2 linked regions of the Schizosaccharomyces pombe genome follow. Changing the gene in region 2 together with the main gene of any one other region gives a genetic interaction. Each region holds a gene or a part of one and is shown on either strand. Other genes may lie near its edges.

Evidence for each region.
Region 1: mutations in msd1 (region 2) and alm1 are lethal when combined (synthetic lethality), as found in Schizosaccharomyces pombe (one study listed by BioGRID).

Annotation. Positions count from the first base shown.
Region 1 is NC_003424.3:3,190,471-3,209,107, forward strand, and holds alm1 (nucleoporin Alm1), read right to left. Parts: upstream 6,298-18,637; 5' UTR 6,246-6,297; coding exon 1,062-6,245; 3' UTR 977-1,061; downstream 1-976. Other genes in the region: ntr1 (RNA-binding splicing factor), read right to left, coding at 1-321; F1F0 ATP synthase assembly factor Fmc1, read left to right, coding at 12,310-12,363, 12,407-12,667; npt1 (nicotinate phosphoribosyltransferase), read left to right, coding at 13,891-15,123; mrpl19 (mitochondrial 54S ribosomal protein uL11m), read right to left, coding at 15,630-16,064; cytochrome c oxidase assembly protein Cox16, read left to right, coding at 17,050-17,280, 17,400-17,510. UniProt on the Schizosaccharomyces pombe protein: Maintains the proteasome and its anchor cut8 at the nucleus envelope and is required for kinetochore component proteostasis. Proper kinetochore stoichiometry ensures the correct attachment of kinetochores to spindle microtubules during cytokinesis.
Region 2 is NC_003423.3:3,048,945-3,053,335, reverse strand, and holds msd1 (microtubule-anchoring factor Msd1), read right to left. Parts: upstream 2,786-4,391; 5' UTR 2,757-2,785; coding exon 1,761-2,756; 3' UTR 1,377-1,760; downstream 1-1,376. Other genes in the region: SPOM_SPBC13E7.07 (uncharacterized protein), read right to left, coding at 4-825; gpi14 (pig-M family mannosyltransferase), read right to left, coding at 2,859-3,092, 3,143-4,391. UniProt on the Schizosaccharomyces pombe protein: Has a role in meiosis.

The sequences.
Region 1 (18,637 bases), on a different chromosome or scaffold from region 2:
ATTTTTCGCCTGAGAAACCTCATCATTTTTATTCTTTAACTGTGGAATTGAATGCGCCTCCAATAAATCATCTGCTGTCACTTGCTTATTTGCTTTAACTTGTTCAGATTTCTCAACAAAAGAAATGTTTTTTCTACGAAGTCTAGCACTTCCAATCCCCGAGTTATGAAAACCATCTTCATCTTCTTCACCAAATATTCCTAGCATGTCCCTTTCTTTTTGCTGCCCACGAAAAGATGGACGAAGACGTCCTTCTTCCAAAATTGAATCACCATCTGAATCCTCGGAAGATGAATTCATATCGACATACTCATTTTGCATATCAACCCAAGAATTCAATATAAATAAAAACCAATGAAAACCGAAATTTTCTATTTTGGGTCAGTTCTCCAGTGGGTTAAATATGGATGTCATATAATGAGTTTTTGCGCGTTACGTTCTTAAGCTTAAGAACACGCGAAAACGTCATTATTTATTTTATCTTGTCAGCAATACTACACTACGCTATGATACACTACGTTGCGTATCACTATATGTCATATGTTGGAATACTAGCTAAGATCCGTTTATTGATAATCACGGGTAACTATCCGTCTATATACATAGTTACCCGTTGATAACAACTATTTAGAAATATTATAAATACCGTTACAACTGAACCTCGTTCCTCAGTTCAGTTATGAGCTATATTAGTGATAGGTAACATTATAACCCAGTTAATACAATACCTATACTCAGTTGCTACTTATACAACCTGTGTATTGTAATATAATAGACCACAAGGAAAACTCACCGCAGTTCTACGTATCCTTAAATCAGATACCAAACTGCGTAGCTTACATATCTGAATAAGGACATTAGTTGCGCAAAATATCTATAGCTCTTCAAAAAATATCAAAATATTAAATTACAATACAAAGCTTTTTATTATAATAAAATTAAAGTCGTTTTTTTTATTGGAAACCAGAAATAATAATTATGCAGCTAACCTATTTTATTATCTGTTTACAAACTCTTAAGAAACATTAAAAAGGGCATTATACCAAAAAATTCATATTTTACTATTTGGCTTTCTTAACATCATTGGAAACATCCATACCAGCGTCTGAACTGGACCGTTTAGGAGGAGAATTAGTGTCAACAGAGTGAGTTTTGGCGATTAACTTTTTCTCTTTAACTTGAGCTGCTGGGACTTCAGAATTGCTTTTATTGGAATCAGTGTTTTTAGAAGCTTCCAAACTTAAAATTGCAGGGCTATCTTTTTTCTTCGATTGCTCCAACTCTGCTCGCACTCTAGCTAAGTTCTTTTCCAGCATGCTCAACTTCAACTTGTTACGCATCTCGAGTTCTTTTCGGATGTTATCTAGTTGTTTTTGATGCGACTGAGCAACTTGTTCCTCAACATCCTTCTGTAAAATTTCTCTGCGCTTTTCCCATTCCTTTTGCACAAAAGTAGTAAAGTCGGCAGTGGAAGTCGAAAAGTCAGATATGGACTCGTTGAAGATTACTTGAAATGTAACTGATAACATCTCTTCTGTCTTTTTTAAGTTTTCCAAATCTTTAGTATCAGCATGTACCGAAGCGGACTCTGCTTCCTCGGATGACACAACTGTCTCTTGCAAAGCTTTCACTTGATCTTGTAAAACCTGATTTTGTTTCCTGAGTAATTCGTTTTTCTGTAGCTCTTTTGCAATTCTCGAACGTAACCTCAAAACTTCCTGTTGCATGACTTTCTTCCTTTCCATTTCTTCTTCGTTGGGTATTTCAGTATCCTTACTGGTTCCCTCAGATTTATTACTATTTTGTCTGACCTTCTCAAGCTCCTCCTTCGTAGTATTTAAGATATCCATAATTTCACTTAGCTTTCGCTGTGTAGAAGATAGTTCTTCCTTAGTGCTATTGAATTCTTCCAGTGACACCGTACTTGGTTCAGACTGTGTAGTAGCAGTGGGGGTTGCAGAAGGTTTGTTGAGTTGTTCATTGAGCTGATGACATTCCGCAACCTTGGCTTCTAATTCAGAAGTCTTTTGCGAAAGTTGTTGACGTATTTGATTGTGCTTTTCTAAGCTCTTGTTAACTACCTGCTCATATTTAGTTCGCCAAGCAGCTGCTAGTTTTGTATTCTTCAACTCTAATTGTTCAATCTTGGATTGGTTTTGCGCTCTCTCATTTTCCAAATCTTCGCTTTTTGATTTAACAGTTTCCAATTCAGATTTCAAATGACCAATTTCTTGATTTAACTCCTCTATTAAGTTTTCTTTGGAAACAAGTTCATTCTTTAAGCGTGAAGCATCACTAGACGTAGATGTGCTACTGTTCAAAGATAGTAATATTTCTTGGTTATGACGCTTGTATTCTTCGTTGCTGTTTTCAAGCTTTTTTACAGCTGCTTTCTCTGTTTGAAGCTGTGATTCTAGTTGTTCTTTATTAAGTCTAAAATTCGCCAAATCAGTTTTAAGAGTTTCTATTTTCTCTCTTAACTCTGTGATAACTTCCTCGTTCCTTTCTAAATTTTCTCGGAGAGATTTGTTGCTCTCATTTAATAAAGCAACCATGTTTAGATAATTTGAACGTTCCCCAACGGATTCAGAAGTACTGCTAACATCCTTTTCCGTTATACCTCTTTGCAGATCGGCGATAACTCGATTCGATGATTCAACGGTTCGCTTGAGTTTCTTATTTTCAAGGAATAATAATTGTCGTTGGCATGAAATAATCTCCATTTCTTTGGATATACGCTTCACATGATTCTGTAAATCTGATAATCCTAATTTCATAACAGAATCTAAATCCGGGGATGGGCTAGTTATTTCTGCAAAGTTGAGATTGGAAGATTGAAGTTGGGTTAAAAGCATTGCGTTTTGCTTTTTGAGGACATAAACTTCCTGTCTCAAAGGATCTTCTTTTTCACTAATGGGAAAGGGCTGAGATTCGTTTATACCGGCCTTTAAGGCTATTTCTTTATTCAAATCTTCAACCTGTTCTAATGCCTTCGTGTAATCCTCGCGCAGTTTTTGAAGAGTCGATCTAGCATCGGCATGTCTTAAAAGTTCCTTTTCATAATCTTCACGAGTTTTTCTTAAATCTTCAGTTACCAACAACAACTGTTGTTTATAATCATTCTCCTTCTCTAAATGTTGCTTTTCAGCATTTCGGTGTGACGAAAGCTCATTGTTAAGATGCTTATTTTCCTCTAAAAGCAAGGCAACTCTTGTTTCGCTATCTTTAGTAATATTCTCACAGCGTAAAGAAGAAGAAGCTATCTCATCTTGTAGAATAACTATCCTTTGTTCAAGAGAAGTGATTTTTAAATGATTTTTTTCCAAGGACTCTGAAGTTTGCAATCGATACTCATCATACTCAGTTTTAACTCTTTCAACCATTTCTTCGGCGAGTTTGCTTGCGGCCTGTAACTGTTCAATATTCCTTAAAGAATAATTGTATTGGGATTCTAAGGAAGTATGTTTAGATTGCAAGTCACTAAGCGATGATTCTAGCAAAGCTTCCCTTTCGCTATAGGACGTATTTTTTTGCTGTGTAAACTTGGCTTCCAAAGTAGAAAATCTTTGTTTTTCAAGTTCAATGACGCCGTTTAATTCTTGGAGTTTTATTTCCATCATTTGTTGATTATCTAACAATTTCCTGTTGTCTTCACTTAACGATTGTTTTTCGAGCATTAATGTCTTAATCCTGCTGGAGTACTCAATTCCGCTCTTTTCCAAAGATTTCTGTAGAGAATGAAGATCATTACTCATCTTTTCATTTGACTCCTTCAACTTCTGCAAGGAAAGGCTTAAGCTTTCCTTCTCAGATTCAAATTTTACTTTTCTAGCAGCATCAGATAGCTGTTGCTGGTTAAGAAAAGTTTGAAGATCTGATACAAGACTCATTAGTCTCTCGCGCTCAGCCAAAAGTTTATCGTTTTCAGATATTAAACGCTCTTGCGTCCTTTTCCGTAAATCTTTTTCACCCTTCGAAGCATTTAGTTCACCTTTTAATCTTTCAGCAAGTGAGTTAACATGTAATAATTCTTCGGCAAATTTACTGGCTCTCTGATCCTGTCGACTAATTATATCCTGTAAATTTTGATTAATACTACGAAGCTCCTTGGCTTCCTTTTTAAAGGCTTCAACGTCATTATTAGCATTAGTTAATCTATCAGTAGATAACTGCTGCTGATATTTGGAATTTTCTAACTCTTTACGTATTGCTTCCATCTCACTCAACAAATCCTGATTTCGCTTAGACAAGGATTCCTGAATAGCTGTCATTTCGTTACGATAAACTTCGTAATTTTTCTCAAGTTCTCTTGTAGATTCATCAATGGATTTCATTTTGTCATCAATATTGCCCGCGGAAGAATTGTGAGACAAAATACTGCTTCGAGAAGTAGCTAACATTTCTTTCAGTAAATTTCGTTCATTAAGTAAGGACTCATTTTTTATTTTTGACGAATTTAACTCACTTTCCAAATTTTTGATTTGCTCTGAAAGTGTATTTGAATTTTCTTTAACTGCATTGGAAATTTGATATTGGACAGTTTGCTTTTGGATTTCAACATCGCATTCAAGGGCCCGCACTTTTTCCCGCAGTTCTAGAGTTTTCGAAACAGCTTCCTTTATAGATGAAAAATTAGCAAGCTCCTTGTTTACTAGTGTCTCAGATGCAGTAGAGGGATTTTGAGCGTATTCATCAAGCGCAACTTGCACAGTAGCGGGAACGTTTCTTGATTTAGTTTCATTCAAATGATCAAGTTCGGCCATGAGACAAATAACTTCTCGAGAAAGATCACTGCATTGAGTACGAGATGCGGTGAGCTGCAAGTAACAAGCTTCTTGGCGCATTTTGGTCGATAAAAGCTCTGCTTGTACTTTGGTTAGGTTGTTGTTAGATGTTTCCAAAGATTCGCTAAGAAAATTCATATAAATGTTATTCCTAACGATTTCACTCCTCTGTTGTTTGACAACTGGAATCCTTTGTTTAACTTGTTCACAAAATGAGGAGAATTTGTTAGTCAAGCGGTCTAGCTGAAGCTTTAAGCTAGAAACCTTCTGTTGGAGTTTCATATTGTCCGAATATACTTTCGTAAATGAAAATTCGGGATTTTGAACGGCGCTTAACTTTTGCGCCAAAGGAGAAAACAAACCTACACCAGCTGAAACAGAGGTATTTTTATTTTCTTTAACCACTTGTAGTTCACTAACTACACTATCATATTTCTCTTGCAGTTCCCGCAAACTATTCTCCGAAATCAATAGCTGTTGCTTGTTATTATTTAACTCTTCGGTCACATTATTGTATAGACTTTGTTGCGAAGTGAGCTTTTCTTGAAGTGCAGCAACCTCTGATTGCAACTCTGAAGATTTAGACTCCCAAAGAGCTGTAAGTCGTTTCTGAGTTTCCACTTCTTCTTCAAGTTCTTTGATTGAAGTGGGGTCGGTTTCAAGGATTTTTGATATGTTCCCATCGGAGGAATAATTGCTCCGCTTTTGCTCAAAAAGCTGTATTTTTTCGTTAAGCTCTGTATTCTGTTGGGCAAGCCCAGCAAGCTTTTTCTCCAAATCTTGAACTTGACGAGATGAAACTTCTAATTTTTCGCAAACTTTCGAATGATCTGATTGCAAACTAGCCAAATCAGAGACTAAAGCGCTTTTCTCCTGAACGAGTATCTCTTCCTTGACACGACTGCTACTGCTAGCAAACATGTGCTGTTTCTTTCTTTCTTCAATATCAGACAATGCTTGATGCGCACTCTGGACTTGCTCTCCTAAATGTGAATTTTCATTTTGTAGGGCTTCGATTTGATCTTTCGCGATTGAAAGCTGCTCAGAAGCAATCTTAGATTGCTCTTGTAATTCAGAGTTAGCCCTTCTAAGCGACTGGTTCTCAGTAGTCAATGCATCAAAGCGCTTATTTTGATTCTCCAAGTTGGTTTTCAGCGATTCGTTCTCATTTCTCAATACCGATATAAGATTACGTGATTCCTCTGCTTGATTATTAGAAGATTGAAGTTGTTGCTCAAGAAAGTTAATCTTCTTCGTAAGAACATTCTCCTTATGCTCATGGTTGACTTCTTGAAGGACAAGCTGATCCTTTAAAGCGTTTATGTCTTTAACCTTGGTTTTAATAGCAGATATAAATACAGCGAAACCATTGACAGACACCAGGGGTTTTATATCCTCAAAAGATACATCCAAAAACTCGTGTACCAGCTGAATATCATCTTCAAGTCCCCCCGAAGACATTTTCTAGCCTGGAATCAACGTTCGATGACTTATGAAGCACCAGTGTACGTATACGAGAAGTAAGTGATCAACCTCGATGTACAGAAATAATACCACGTTAGAAGAAATGCGACAATTACGTTGAGAAAAACAAATGAAGCAAATTTAAAAATTGTAATTACCGTGAGTATTAAAAAAAAAGCTAAATTTCTGTATTCTTCTCTATCACGCCTTGAACGTATCTTGAGTAGCAGTGCACTATTCGGACCTGTCGTCCACACAACACCAATTTTGGTGACTTTACTAATTATTTAATCAAATATCATCCTAGTGATGTTTGGACAAAACAATTCTTCCGGATTTGGAGGAGGAACCGGTGCTTTCGGTCAAAATAATCAACAAACTGGTGGGTTATTTGGTTCCAACTCCAATACTCCAGGGAACACTTTGTTTGGTTCCCAAAACACTTCTACAACTGGCTTTGGGCAGAACACTACTCAACCCTTGTTTGGATCAAATACGAACGGTGGACTATTTGGAAATAGAAACAACACTACCACGACTGGTGGCACAGGTTTTGGAATGTCCTCTGGGACAGGTATGTTTGGCCAATCCAATACTCCTGCTTTTGGAGGCACGAACAACGCCACAAATCCTAGTGGTGGTGGCCTCTTTGGATCAAATACCGCCAACAACAATGCAAATACTGGAACGTCATTTTCTTTTGGATCGAACGCTGGTTCAACAGGGTTCGGTAACACTGCATCGAATACTGGTACCGGTGGTGGCTTGTTTGGTTCTCAAAATAACGCTGGCAATACTGCTGGAAATACAGGTTTGGTTCGCAAGGTACTGGTGGTGGCTTGTTTGGTTCGTCCACTACACCCGCTACGACCAACGCTTTCGGAACCTCTGGATTTGTCTCAAGCAATGCAAACGCTGTGAATGGTACAGCTAACCCACCTTATGCGGTAACTTCTGAAAAAGACCCTCAAACAAACGGTACTAGTGTCTTCCAGTCTATAACTTGTATGCCCGCTTATAGATCTTATTCATTTGAAGAGTTGCGTTTACAAGACTATAATCAAGGACGACGTTTTGGCAATGCTTCTAGTACGAACACTACTTCTGCATTTGGTTCAACACCCGCATTTGGAGCTTCAACTACTCCGTTTGGTCAGAATTTGTCAGGTACCACAAATAATGCAACACCGTTTGGTACATCGAATGCTACTAATACCACTCCTGGTTCCGGTCTCTTTGGCGGTGGATCTGCATTTGGTAGTAACACTACCAATACAGGGTTTGGTTCTGGAACAAATAATGCATCCGGTGGGTTATTTGGTCAAAACAATAATACCACCTCAACTCCTTCAACCGGTCTTTTTGGTGGCTCTACATTTAATCAACAAAAACCAGCTTTTTCAGGTTTTGGCTCAACCACTAACACTACCAATACTGGTACAGGAACGGGTCTTTTTGGTTCAAATAACGCAACCAATACAGGAACAGGTCAAACTACGGGTGGCTTATTTGGTGGTGCTGCCACTGGTACGGGTACGGGATTTGGTTCTTCTACTGGGGGGTTTGGAAGCAACACGAATAACCAACCCAATTCAGGTACCATGGGTACAGGTTTGTTTGGTTTTGGCGCTAATAATAATACGGCAAATAATAACACCGCTCCAACATCTACTTTTGGTGGTAACAATAGTAGTAATTTTTCCTTTGGTGCCAATAATAATGCAGCCACTAAGCCTTCTGGATTCGGTTTTGGTTCCACGACCACTACTCCTGCCAGCGGAGGTTTTTCTTTTGGGCAAAATGCTAATAATGCTCCCAAGCCAGCTTTTGGATCCACTGCTACCACTGCTCCTAAACCAGCAGGGACAGGTTTGTTTGGTGGTTTAGGAGCCGGTGCTAATACCAACACAGCTACTAATGCTACCGGCACTGGCGGAAGTTTATTCGGAAATGCGAACACTGCGGGTTCTAACATGTTTGGATCAGCCAACTCCAGTACTCCTGGTACCGGTTTATTTGGCTCTACGCAAACGAATAATGCTACTTCCAATACCGGAACCGGGCTCTTTGGATCCAATAATGCAAACACAACCAATACCGGTGGTAGTTTGTTTAATAAGCCTTCTACTACAACTGGTGGTTTGTTTGGTAACACAACTGCTCAACAACCATCTACAACTACATCTGGATTATTTGGGGCTTCTAATACTAACAACCAAGCACAAACTTCAAATTTTGGTACTGGGTTATTTGGTGGATCTCAAGCTGGACAACAGCAACAACCATTACAGGCCAGTATAGACCAAAACCCTTACGGCAATAATCCCTTATTTTCAAGCACAACTTCACAAGTTGCACCAACTAGTATTCAGGAACCGATAGCTTCACCGTTGACTTCTAAACCGACTCCCAAAAAGGCAGCTTCTCTACCACAATTTTGGTTGTCACCTCGTTCGCATAATACTGCACGTTTGGCTTCTATTTCCTCTTTTGCCAAATCGGCTGTAATGAATTCAACAAGTGCTTCTGGTAAACCGAAATCACTACACCTGTTTGATTCGCTTAACGATGATGTGTTGCTGAGCGCCGATGCTTTTACTCCGAGACAAAACATAAAAAAGCTGGTTATTACCCACAAAATCTCCAAAGATGATATCCTGCAAAATGGTGTGAAAAATGGCAACGATGCCAAATCAGACTCAAAAGTACAAGAAAAAGCACCTCAAAATGAAGCAGATGGCTCTTTAAAGAAAGACGAACATGTAGTTCTATCTGACGATTACTGGATGAAACCCTCAATTGAGGAGCTTTCTAAGTATCCTAAAGAAAAATTATGTTCTGTCCATCAATTCTCTGTCGGTCGCACTGGCTATGGCCAAGTTGCATTTTTAAAACCCGTCGATTTGAGTGGATTCGAAAAGCTTGAAGACATACCTGGCAAGGTCGTTGTTTTTGAGAGAAAGATTTGCGCCGTATATCCTGTTGAGGGATCAAGTCCTCCTTTGGGTGAAGGCCTTAATGTTCCTGCCATAATTACACTTGAAAAAACCTGGCCATTATCTCGAGAGACTCGAGAGCCTATTAAGGATCCTCAGAACCCTAGATACATTCAACATGTAAAGAGACTTCATCGTATTAAAGATACCGAATTTATTGACTTTAATGACGGAAAATGGATCTTCAAGGTTCAGCATTTCTCTAGATACGGTTTGCTGGATGATGAAGAGGAAGAAAACGATATGTCATCAACTAGTAATGAAGCAGGTAATTTAAAAAAGTATGATCAACCAAACTTGAAAGTTTCGGGAAAAAATGATTCATTTGTTACTCACCATACACCAGGTGCATTTCCCAACGACAGTAAGAACAAGGAATTGAACCGCCATTTCCTAAAAGTTGATGATTCTGCCCCTTTGGATGATACTTTTATGTCCAAGAAAGTCAAACTTGATTTTTCTAGCGATTCAAATGTCTCAGAAAGAGGTGACTATGACGATAATGCAAAAAAAGTCGACGAGGTTATTTCTATCGAAAAAGTCGATGGATACTCGAAGGAAAATAACGTTCCACTTTCTGAAGATGACTTATCAAATTCTTCGGAATCTTCTAATGAATCCGTTTATAGCCTAGTAGAAGAGTCTGATGCTAGTTTGGCAGCAGACAATATGGATATTGAGGATATTAGCGAGGAGTCGGACAGGGAGGAACTGTCTTCTATGCGTTTTGGAGCCCAAGATTTTCATGGGCTTGTCGTTACAGATAATTGGAGAGACCAATTAAATTTGAGTGTTCAACGCTCGGCTTTAATAAAAGCTGCTTTTCCTGAAAGTCAATCAAATGCAAATTTAAAAAACTCTAGAGGTATATATTATAACGAACATGATTTAGTGACGGACATTTTTGGAAATCAAAACCTCGACACCGATAGACCTTGGCAATCTTTAGATAAGCCGGGGGCTTTCATACCCTCAAAATTTCATTTTACTGCCAACGGATCATGTATATACGTGCTGAAATCTTCGGATGTAAAAATAAGATCGATATATGATTTTATACCTACCAAAGATCCAAATGGCACGAAGTTGTTAGAGTATCAGCTCGATCAAACAGAAGTTTACTTGGATTTGAGTGGGACCCATGCTGCTTCACCTCGTTCATCTATGACTGTCAAACCTTTATCGCTATGTTCTTCTGGATATGAAAGCATAGTGTGGGATCTGACTTCAATTCTATTTGACCCAAAAAACTACTCCTTGCCTTCAGAACTCTCATCAGAGGCTCGTGAAGTTCTTTATCAAAAGCTTGTACGGGAATCTTTATCTGAATGGATTACTAAGACACTTGAGCATGAAACAACTACATTAGCAAAGGAAGCCGAAACATCAGAAGAACGTATTTACATTTTGTTAACAGGAAACCTTATTGGTCAGGCTTGTGAGGAAGCGGTCCAATCCCAAAATAATCGTTTATCCACGCTTATACCTTTAGTCAATAGTGATGTAGATATCCAGCAAGAGGTGAAACAGCAATTGGAGGAATGGAGAAAACACGGTGATTTACCCTTCATCAATAAATTTACAAGACTAATATTCGAATTGCTTTCTGGTAATACTGATATTGCTGAAGGCTGTGGGACTAAAGGAGATGAGGATTATGTTCAATCTATACCCATTACAAAAAATATGACCTGGTTAAGAGCATTCGGCTTAAAGTTGTGGTACAACACTGATATTAGTATAGGTGAAGCTATGCAATTGTATGTTGAGTCTTTGCAAAAGTTTCCTGAAATCATGCAGAAACCAATCGCCACTAGTGCTGTGCAAGGTATTGAAGTATATGACATTATTTATCTTTTGCTCAAAGCGTATGCTATGGGCACTAGTTTAGAAGAACTTACTATACCGGAAAGCGCTAAATGTTCGCCGCTGAATTACAGAGTAGTATGGCAATTGGCAATTTACTTATCGAAAGCTAGATCCTTATGTGACTTTTCAGATAGAGTGGTGGATATTAACATGGCTGAAGATCTAAAACCTATTAGTGTTCATTCTGATCAATTGACTCTGGCATATGCTTCCCAGTTGGAAGCATCAGGGCAATGGTTATGGTCATTATTTGTTTTATTGCATTTGGAGAATGTAGAAACCCGAACATCGACTATCACTTCATGTTTAGCACGAAACCTTCGTGGGGGATTAGGTGCTGGTGCTGTTGAAATGATTGAAAAGTTATGTATCCCTGAATCCTGGTTAAACGAGGCCAAAGCGTTGTATGCACGTTATGTTGGTGATCACTTAAACGAGCTTTATTTCCTTCAGGAAGCTGCTTTGTATGAAGATGCGCATAAGGTGTTGTTGGATACCTTGGCTCCACAGGCTGTTATAAGTGGTAATAAGACACAATTGAAAAAAGCACTAGAAGGATTTAATGGGCAAACAGATGGGTTGGCTTCTTGGAGATTTGGAGGTCAAATTTATTCCGATTATTTGGATCTTTTAGAAGGTAACTTTGATGCTAATCAAGAGCTAAAGCTTTTTACACTTCGTAAAATTAGCGTAGCATTGAAAGAATTGAATGCTACTAATTTGTTACAAAAGGCTGCTTTGCACAAAATTTCGCGGTTTGTTAACGCGCTTTGTAATGAAGAGTCACTTACGGATGCTATATGTAATCTCCCCTTACCACTTGCTGACAGTCTAGCGAATTTACAAAATATATCTGTGCAATTTTGATTTAGTATTCTAGATTGGTTTATACGATGAATTAGAAAAAAAATCTATATTTAATGAAATCGGAATATATGTTCTGAGTTCAACGTCTTTTGTAAATAATGAATGAATATATATTTTTGTTGGCTTTAACTTCTTTAAACATTTATTAAATGACACCAATAATAGTAATTGTTCTCTTGCTTTAAGCTACTTGTTCGTTGTTCTATAATGAAGTTAGTGGATTCATTAGCAACTACAAGAAACACCTCTCTCTAAACGCGCAATCATTCATAAGGATTTTGTAGGTATAATACCAACCTTAGATCCATAAAGAGAAGATAATTTAAACGATGAGTACTCCTACTACTGTTTATCGGTCACTTTTGCGTCAATTGCGCGAGATGGTAAGTATTTTGAAGTATGGGGCGAAGCATTAATAGTCTTCAGAATGTAATATATAAGACCAGTACCCTCAAACAAAAGAAAGGATTCACTAAGACCCAAAAAGACTTCTTAGTATATACCAAAGCTTGTCTTAGAAATAACAAGGTTGAGCAGCTATCAAAATTTCAAGAGGTGGTTGCATTTTTGAAATCGGGAAATCAACATGAACTGTTATTTAATCGCCATCATCCGTTAGCAAATGTAAATGAACTTGAAAAAGTAAAGCTTGCTGCTAGACGTGTAGGATTGGAAAGCCCCGAGTAAGCTGATGTCCAAAAGTGGTGAATTGATGATTTATCTGACGATATACTCGACTGCCTTTTCCGTTATAGAGCTTATTAAAAAATTTCAAGGGTGTACTTTATCTCAATTTTGCGCATTAAAAATTTACTTTTTCCGCAAAACCTCGTCCGAAATTACTCGTTAGTTTTTTTGAACTGTTTCTTAGTGATGTCTTTTACTACATGCTAATAACGAAATTCTGAATTCTTTGTGACCAAAAAAATATATTTTTTAACACTTGAGTTATGCTATGCTCTGTGCTTTATGGAAGTTTAAAATTATCACCCTTACTACTTGTACCGGAAGATTTTTAAATGAGCGTCCTAATGCTCCTGAATTAATATATACAAGAGTCAGGATAGGCAAGTACTTACGGAAAGGAAATGAAATTTTTGGAATTCTCTTTTTTGTCCTGCTAAAATTGCAATATATTAGAAATGGTCTTATGAAAAACACTTAAGAATATCATATTTAGTTGTAAACCCATTTTAATGAATTTTTGAAAAGAACTTTAGAAAATATGTGCCAGTATAAAGATTGAGTTTCAATTATCAATTAATGAAAAGCAAATTGAAAAGTTATTCCTAATGCCATAAAAAGGCGAACAATTTTAACATCGTAAATAAAAGTAAGTAACAATACCATGATGTTACTTGAAAAAGTAAATCATCGCCAAGATACAAAATGTCAATCTACCAAGATCAGATTCGTCCTCAAATTGGTTTTGTTTGCTACAGGCTATTAAAGTAGTACAATTGTTTGTTGAAGGTATGCTCGTTTGTTAAAAATAATATAATTTGATTTCCTGCAATTTTGGCGGGTATACTTTTCGAGTCTGCATTATAACATGCGCATGTAGTATAAAATATAATGTTTCACATCTATTTGACAATTGACACTAACTTGAAAAAGATCCTAACCCTTTAAAATTTTGAAAACCTTCACAAAAAAATTGACTTCTATTTCCTGCGACTAAGAGTGTTCTGATTGAAATTGACATTAGTAGGGGAAATTATAATTAATATCTTTCATATCAAGACACTTTAAATTTTAATTCTATTTGATTTTGATTTCCTTGCGTTTTTAATGCGCTAACGGCAAACGTTCATTGATTTCATAAAAAAGTTTCGTCGGGTTCTATACACCTCAGGTTTTCAACCAATATTAATATATAATTTGAAAATATATCTATCCTTTTTGCTACGATGAGTGAACCGGCTGTTGTCTCTATCCTCGATACGGATCTTTACAAACTCACCATGCTTCAAGCCGTTTTAGAGCATTATCCGGATGCTCAAGTATCATATAAGTATACAAACCGGTCCCCAAAAATGGCATTAAATCAGGAGGCTTATAACTGGTTACGGGAACAAATAAGAGGCTTACGGAATTTACATTTACTTCCTGAAGAAGAGCAATGGCTTCGCAAGAACTGTCCTTATTTAAAGGAATCATTTTATGAATTCATGCATGAGTTCGAATTTGATCCTGAAAATTCAATTTCCCTTAATTATGATTCTGAAACTAAGGATCTCTCAATCTTTATTCACGGCCTCTGGAAGAATACCATTTTTTATGAAATTCCACTGCTTGCTCTCGTCTCAGAATCTTATTTTAAATTTGTCGATAAGGACTGGTCACCTGAGGGTCAGTTTGAAAAAGCTTACGAGAAGGGTAAGCGTCTCATCCGAGCCGGATGTGCCTTTACTGACTTTGGCACTCGTCGTCGTCGTGATCCTCACACCCAGGAAATTGTTCTCCAAGGTCTCATGAAAGCACAAGAGGATTTTAAGGGCCCTGGAAGTTTCCTTGGTACATCTAATGTTTACTTCGCCGCCAAATATAATCTAAATGTCTCTGGTACGGTTGCTCACGAGTGGTATATGGGCATTGCAGCTATTACTCAAAATTATAAACAAGCAAATCGTATTGCTTCCTTAAAGTGGGTCCAAACTTTTGGTACTAGTCTTTTAATAGCCTTAACGGATACATTCTCTACTGATGTGTTTCTCAAATCTTTTACAGCCAATTCTGCCGACGATTTAGCCAATGTTTTCCATGGTGTTCGTCAAGATAGCGGTTGTGCTGAGGAATACATTGAAAAAGTCGTAAAGCACTATAAATCAATAGGTGTCGATCCTTCCACAAAAGTAATTGTTCATAGCGATGCTTTAAATGTTGACAGATGTATCGAACTGTACAAATACTGCGAGAAATGTGGCATTAAGTCTGCATTTGGCATCGGCACAAATCTTACCAGCGACTTCCAAAAAGTTTCCAATCCCAGTGAAGTGAGCAAACCTATGAATATTGTTATTAAGCTTTTTTCCGCTGAAGGAACTAAAGCAGTGAAGATTAGTGACGATATCATGAAAAATACTGGTGATCGTGATGCTGTTATTCAAGCCAAGCATCAATTATGCCTCCCTATAGCATAAGCCATTTCTTTTATTTTCGAGCGTTTCTGCAGTACTAATCTTGGTTTTTTTTTTCTTATTTTTTGATAGATAGACAGAGTTTGAGGCTCTCTTTTATTGAGCTGCATTTCATAAGGCGTGACTTAGAGTAAACATAAAACTCACACTTGAAAATCTTCATTTTCTTTTCTGCTTAGCATATCTGTTTCGTTATCTATATTGATAGTTTAATGCTAAAGGTAATCATTTAGTCTAAGATGTGTTTGTAAACTAACGGTATGCAATTCTTTAATTTTATATGGCAAACGTGTTTTTTTACTTTGCTTGTTTAACGAAGGAATAATATAAAACAACTAAGAAAAGGAGAAAATAAGAAAACAGGGACAACGTTTTAGTCGGTAATAGTAAAAAGTCATATCATTAACTGCTTTTATTCAAGAAAAAAGAGGGGAATAGTTTATAACAAGATAGAAAAAAAAATAACCTCAAGTATGACCAGTTACAAAATGCTCTGGCGTCTCATAAGATTAAGGTACGACTTTGACGCCCATGCTTTTAGCTGTTCCAATGACACTTTTACAAAGAGAAAGAAGCTCTATTCCTTGTAAGCTTGGATCAGTACTTTTCAATTTGGCAATTTCATATATATGCTTCAAGCTTAATTGTCCCTTTATATCATGTAATGGGGAACTTGAACCTTTTTCAAGGTCGAGGGTTTTAGAGATTAACCAACTGGTTGGAGGAGTATGTATAGTGAAAGTAAATGTTCTTTGAGGTGTGACAGTAATTTTACAAGGCACTGGGGTATTTGGCATCCAACCTGCCGTCCGCGCATTAAATTCTTTACAAAAGTCTATGCTCTTCAACCCGCGAGCACCAAGGGCAGGTCCAATTGGAGGCGTAGGCGTAGCTTTTCCTGCCGGTACAATTAATTTTATGATTGTCGTTCTAGTAGAAGCCATAAGGTTAAAGAAGAAAATACAGTTGTAAGTTGTATGTCTCTCATGCAATAAAGTAACATGTTCTTCCTTAAAAATAATTGTAATTAGAATAATAACTAATTTGAAATATTTGGGTGAATTAATTGTAATGTGTTTACTTATTTGTAATATTAAAGCTTTTAATAGCAGTCAGAAAAATTCCCGAATAGACCAAATGTGTCCTTCTCTTCTGCTTGATTGAATAGAAGTAAAAGTATTGACATTAAATAGGCAACTCAGATAAATGGAAAAGACGTTTTCATAAACGTTGTTCGTTTTAGGATTTTTTTGAAAAATTTTAGTTGATTTTTGAATCTCAAATACGGATTAGTTAAAATGTCGCAAAATTTTTCATTTGTTGAACAACAATAGCGCTGAATTGAAGCCGTTTAAAAGAAGCAAACCAAAATTTAGCTACATAGCTTTTCAAAGTTAACTCCTTACTATCAATTAATATATTAAGTTTTTAGGGATTGGCAAATATCCTAACTAAAAAGCATGATTATTTCATTTGAATCACAAGCTGAAATTAAATGGTCTTTTCTCAGCTATTTTATTACTTTCAATAAACATTTTACATACCATTTTATGGTAAACAAAGTAAAACACATGTTTACTGGAAGTCACAGTCTGTCACTAGCACATGCCATCGATATGTTTCTTTTTCCTAATGTGTATTGTAATTAAAACTATAAAGGGTTTTCACCTGAAGTGCTTGGGCTATGTAGGAATGCTGTCACGCGATGCAGCTTGAATAATTAGTAGAAATAAAAAGATTTCAAAGTGCAGATTTCTATTAAAACTCTACTCTTAAAATTAATTATTACAAACCAACGACTATCTTATTAATTTCCATCCTAACATGCTGAGTGAAGTTTGCCATAATCATCTTAACCAACTTGCTATTTACTACACATTCTTAACAATCCATCGTTTTCAGCGAATGTAAGGATGTTAATAAATTAAAATGCTTTTCTATCGATTTAAAAGTTGGTATAGGCTTCAAGCCAAGAAAAGTCCGTTTATTTACGTTGGATTGCCGTTTTTGAGCTCAGTATTATTAGTCTGGTCATGCTTGATCCCCATTTCCCAAGTCAAATTTAACAGACGAGATGAACAAGTTAAATCCTTGTCCCGGGATGCAGAGTTAGACATTATTAAAAGAAGAAGAAAGGTCGACGTTAATGAAGAATATTATGTAAGTAAAGTGCTGATCTTGTTTTACAATATTTAAGTTTTGGCAACCAGCTGCAAAGTGCATTTGCTTTTCGTGAATTTACATTCACCAGTTCCTTTTTTATTAACCACCTGTTATAGAGGATCTTATTAGATCAGTTGAATCTACAGAACGAGGAGTACGAAAATAAACGTGTAAAGAGGTTAAAAGGGGAGCCTACATGGGAAGGAAATTCAAGCGATAAAGAATGAATAATGAACGATTTTATTGTTATTTTGTTCCTTTATTTTATTATTAATTATGGAGTATTGAAAAGGATACAAGTTTTTGAAGTGAGAATGCTGAAGACGACTTTATGATACAGAGTGTTTTAGCATATGGAAATACTCAAATAAATAAAGCAAGAATTTTTTTTTCTAACATGAGAATAATATTTATGTGGCTCATATATAATTATCTTCAATTTAAAGGACCAAATACTTACACTTAAGCATATTCAGTAGAATAAACTTTCAATGAAGATATTTGAGCGTAAATTTCACTATGAATATGTCACTCAAGCCTAAAAGCGTTTTAATAATAGGAGCATTCAGAAAGGTTTCTTTACTAGTAAACGGTTTATTTTTGGCTTTCCGTTATATATAAGTAACTTGTTAAATAGAACTTGTTTTGAAAGCAATCAAATAAGTGCCATCTCTCTTTATTATATGCTTTGGACCATTACAATTACTAATGATACTAACGCATGGTCTGATTCTATCTACTGTTTGTCTAAGTTGTAAAGAAGCCTTTTCGAATGCGTTTACAACGAAAGATGGAGGAGCTAAGGACAGTATTCAAATAGTGACACACTGTTAATAAGGATTAAATTTAATATTAATTTCTTCTTTATAATGGTAATACTTGGTATTGCATCGTCTTTAAGTCATTGAAAATTATATATATTATCCAGAAGCAGTGAACAAACTAACGCACTATAGTAAACAAAAGATCTCCAATACCCGTAAAAATTTATTTTTAGCGTACGACTAGTTTGGATTCCTGGTGAACGTTCTTATGTATAAGACGGCGTGATATTTGCAAAGCTGATTTATTGCATAGGTGATATTAAAATTATACAAGCCGAGATATCATATTCGATTAATCTAAGTTATCACAAGCGAATCCACTTAGTTAACAATCTACCACAACTTATAAATGGTTTTGTTACTTGCTAACTATGCCGAAGATATGTACATATTTGCTAAATTGAAGCGTTTAACGAGTAAACCAATACTTTTAAACAATAAAGATTTCATCGATTTTTTAGCGTATGCTATATGCAAAAAATTGGTATTTGACCCGCTAATGTTTACTGACATACTTGTGCAAATACTTA
Region 2 (4,391 bases):
TTCCTACCACAAACTATCATATCGGTTACCTTTGGAAGAGCCTGCTTGACCGTTGTTAATATAAGAGTAAGCAGAACGGCTAGAATTGTTTAGCCCTCCACGAGGCCTATTTGCTTCATGAAGCTCTTTTCTATGTGCAGCAAGCCTTCTTCGTTGTTCTTCATCTGCAAGTTCTTGCATTTCTTTAGCCCGTAGCTTTTTTTGTTGATTTTGACGTTGCCTTTTGGTAAGAGGTTCAGTGGATTTCTTTTTGCCGTACGACCTGGAGCTGGTAACAGTTTGAAAGCCATCATCGATATCGTTTGAAGAAAACGAATTATGTAAAGAGTCATCTGCTGTAATAGCGGCGAGAGATATTGATGACTTCATTTTCAAAGAGGAAGGGGTAGTTGAATGTTTCTGTTCTAATTTTTGAGTATCTTCAACGTCCGTAGTATCCTCCTTTTCAGCAGGATTTTTTCCGACCAATTTCTCCTTCTTAGGAGACTTTACTTTCTTGACTTTATGATTTTCTTGGAAAATTTTAGGTGTGCCCTTCTTTGGCACTACCACGGGTTCCTTCTTTGAAGAGTCTTTCGATTTCGACTTTAGGGCATCTGAGGTTTCCAATTTTTGGGATTTTTTAGAGGGAGTTTCTCGATTAACCAAAGTATCCTTCTTAGTGTTCTTTTGTTTCTGCCTCTGTTTCTGTTTACCCAACTTAGTAAGCTTAGACTTTTGAGGTTTGGTAGCTAATTTTTTATCACTTGAGACTAAAAAATAGTACGCAACGTAAACAGTAGCTATAAGAAATGCCCATCTAAAGAAAGCCTCCTCATAACCCATTCTTTATCTCAATGTGGAATAGTGTAAGTAGAGCAACCAAATGGCAGTCCAAGCAAGCGCCATAATGTATCAGGGAATGCACAATGCTACTTAACGATCCTTGATATATAGCACTATATGTTAAAAAATGTAAACAATAAGAAAATGTGATTTCAATAACAAAAGGTAATTATATTGTTTAACATTGAACACATTTGACAAAAAAAACTAATGTACTTGATCACACTACTAATGCTATTCTAAATTCGCTAAAGACTTGTCGCCAATAAAATTAATACACCAACGTATTCGCTTAAAAAGTATAATTAAAAAAAAAAATTGTTAAAATTTATTTATCATTATAGTAACTCTGATTTTTACTTTTTTAACAAAACCACCAATAATGATTTTTGAAGCTTACTAGTACCTTAAATATTTTGTTCTATTAGGGGTGTGTTAGTAGTTTTGAGCAGAATTGAAATTCGAAATATCAATATATTTATAATTATGTAGGTGTTTTTTTACAAATATAAAAAAGAATTAAAAATAACTTATGACTTTTTAGAAAATATTCCGGTTAATTATTTTTTTGAAGATTAAACACAATCGTAAGTGCTCCAACTAACTTTTACATGGAAATAATTAAATCGACTTTCTTGAGCTAGTGCCTACAATCCTTTAACAACATGCTTTCAAAGCCCTGGTGCACTGTTTAACAGTTTCACATTTTAAGGTATGTTAAATCGTTCAATTGAGAATAGAAATTTGCCTTCAAAATTCTGTACTTAGTGAAAGAAGATGCACTTGTTTACAATAAATAAATATTTAAAAAAATAAAAAGCAATCTTCCAGTTCTCAAAGAGGAATATAAGTGTCTTTGAATTGCGTTCTTTATTATTAATAAATTGGCTTTCGTTTAAGAAATCGAAGCAGCAAATTATTACGTTAAAAGTCAGTCAAAATTTGTCGTGCATATTTGTTAAAAATTCAAAAACTCTTTTGTTCTCCTTTTGAAGAATGTTTATCAAATGTTTATTTTTCTCGTTTTCCTCTAATATTGCATCCAATTCATCAATTGAAACATATTTACGTTCATGCAACAGATTACGAATAAAAAGCAGCTGATTTTGAATTTTTGCATCAAGAAGGATAGCATTCAGTTCACATACTTCAAACGGGTTCGAGTTAGGACGTTCGTATAAAGGACTTAACATCTCTACCAGTGAATTCAAGGTACCACTTAAACATGTCAAAAGTGTTCCGTTACTTTTTTTCAATTCGTTATTTAATCCTTTTAACAATTGAAATTCATCGTTATTCACCCTACTGTTAAGGAAATTGGAATTTTCATCATTCTGTTGCAAAAATGAAGCGGTCTCAGGTAGTATGGGGGCATTTGTGTTTTGCTTAATAGGCTCTTTAACGATTAACATACTATTTAGGTTTCTTCCTTTTCGAGCTTTCACTAGTCCATAGTTACCTTTCAAAGTCTCCATTTGTTGCTCATGCTGGCGTAATGAAACAGATAATTGATTCTTTAATGCCTTCAAAGTCAATTCATTTTTAGCATTTACATCTTTCAAACCTTTATTTTGTGTAATTAATTCAGCTTGATCTCTTTCCAGTGTTCTAACTTTATTCAGTTGCAATTGACATTCGTTTTGATAAAGCTCCAACTCATTTTTGAGCCGTTTTATTGTATTGTTATCTCTTTGCTTTTCATATTCATTATTTTTAATAGCATCAAGAAGAGATTCCTTTTCTAAACGTTCTTCGTCAGTTGCTCTTAATAAACGATATATGATGTTCACTATGTTGCAATTATCACGAATGTCATGAGAAAGGCGTAACTTTTCAGCTTGTATTACTCCTTTGGAAAATAAAGATTTGTTAATATACAAAAGGCTTTCTTCTATATTGCTGGGGTTGCAAAAAACAATGGGGGTGGTCATCTTCCAATGTTTACACTTATTAATGCGGTGGTGAAGAAATAATGTAGAACATCCTTATAAAAATCATCTATTGCATAGAACTTAAAACAGATTGATTATTAACTACAAAGAATCTAATATTATTTTTAATTCATAAACATTAAAAAAAAAAAAAAGTAAGCCGGAAAGCCAAAGAGGTATAAATACCGATTTTCCCAACATTTCTAAATTGTATGCACTAATAAGCCATAACAGCTGACCAATAATCCACAGAGACAGACAAATAAGTCCCTTCTTACTTAAAAGCTTAGAGTTTGGTAAAACCAGAGGTAGAAATACTAGATACCACATAAAATACTAAGTTGTTAGTATAATCCGTCATTCTTCTAATTTCAAACTTAACATACCTGACTGGTACAAACCTTATTAAAGGTTACAAATGCAAATGTTTGGGCAAATAGAGTCCCAGGTAAATTCTTTTTTCCAAAGACCAAGGGTATTAGCATGCACAAACTTAACTGCGGCAGAAATGCAAATAAAGAAGACGCTTTTGCTCCGAAAGATGATTCATAGTATAAGTTTAAATGATGTAGAGAGAAATTATGTCGATGATCTGTTCTACCAAAGTGGTAAAGATATGTATGTTCAAGGAATGGAGACCCGTAAAGGTAATACATCAATAAATTACATATCGTAAACATAAACAAAGAACCAACAACAATCTTTAACTGATTAATCGATAATAAAGATAGAAATTTTTCCATGAAAGTGGACCCTTTTTTTGGTTTTGAAAAATATACTAAGAAAGCAATCCCATACATAAATGGGTAAATTTTAAAATGCACAGAAAACCCAAGTATTAGGCTAGCTAGCCAAACTGATTTTTTTTCGATCAAATACAACAAAGCAATGCTCAATATACCAAGAATGGCTTCACAATTCCCTCGAGTACTGATTATGGCGACGAATGGGTTCAATATCCAGAAGGAAGAGTAAATTAACGACCTTTTGTAAGATATCCTCCTAGATAAGAGCTTAATCATAAGCCACCCAGCAATTAAGTCTGATATTGAAAACAAATATTTACCCCACGACGGAAATCCGTATTGAGTAGGAAGAAGCAAAATTGCCAACATTGGAGTATAGCGATATGTGTCACGCATATACGGTGACATTCCTATGGAGACATATTTTGATGCGTCCGAAAACACGAAATAATCGATGTCCGTAAATTTAAGGGCAGATCGTCTATCATGCCAAATACCATAATTCAACAATACAAGTCTCATCAATAGACCCAATAAAAGTAAAAGAAATGCATCAGTAGGCGCATATAGGAGATATAAACTACTTTCACGTAATTTGGTAATCATATTTTCACGACTATTGTACTTTGACAGTAATTTCATAGCTTTTGCATAATGGATAAGAGCTTCACGAGCACTTGTATTGAATAGACTGCAAACTTTCACATCCAAATCAATGAGATATTTTTCATCCTGGGTTAAACGATATTGCAAGCAAGATTGAATAAAGCACTGAATTCGCAAATATTCTTTATCTGAGACACTAGTGTTTGTCCATTCAAGCAAAGAATTGGTAACTCCAGCAGCTAGTAAAGAATATGCCTTTTCATAATTTTGAAAGTTGTATGAT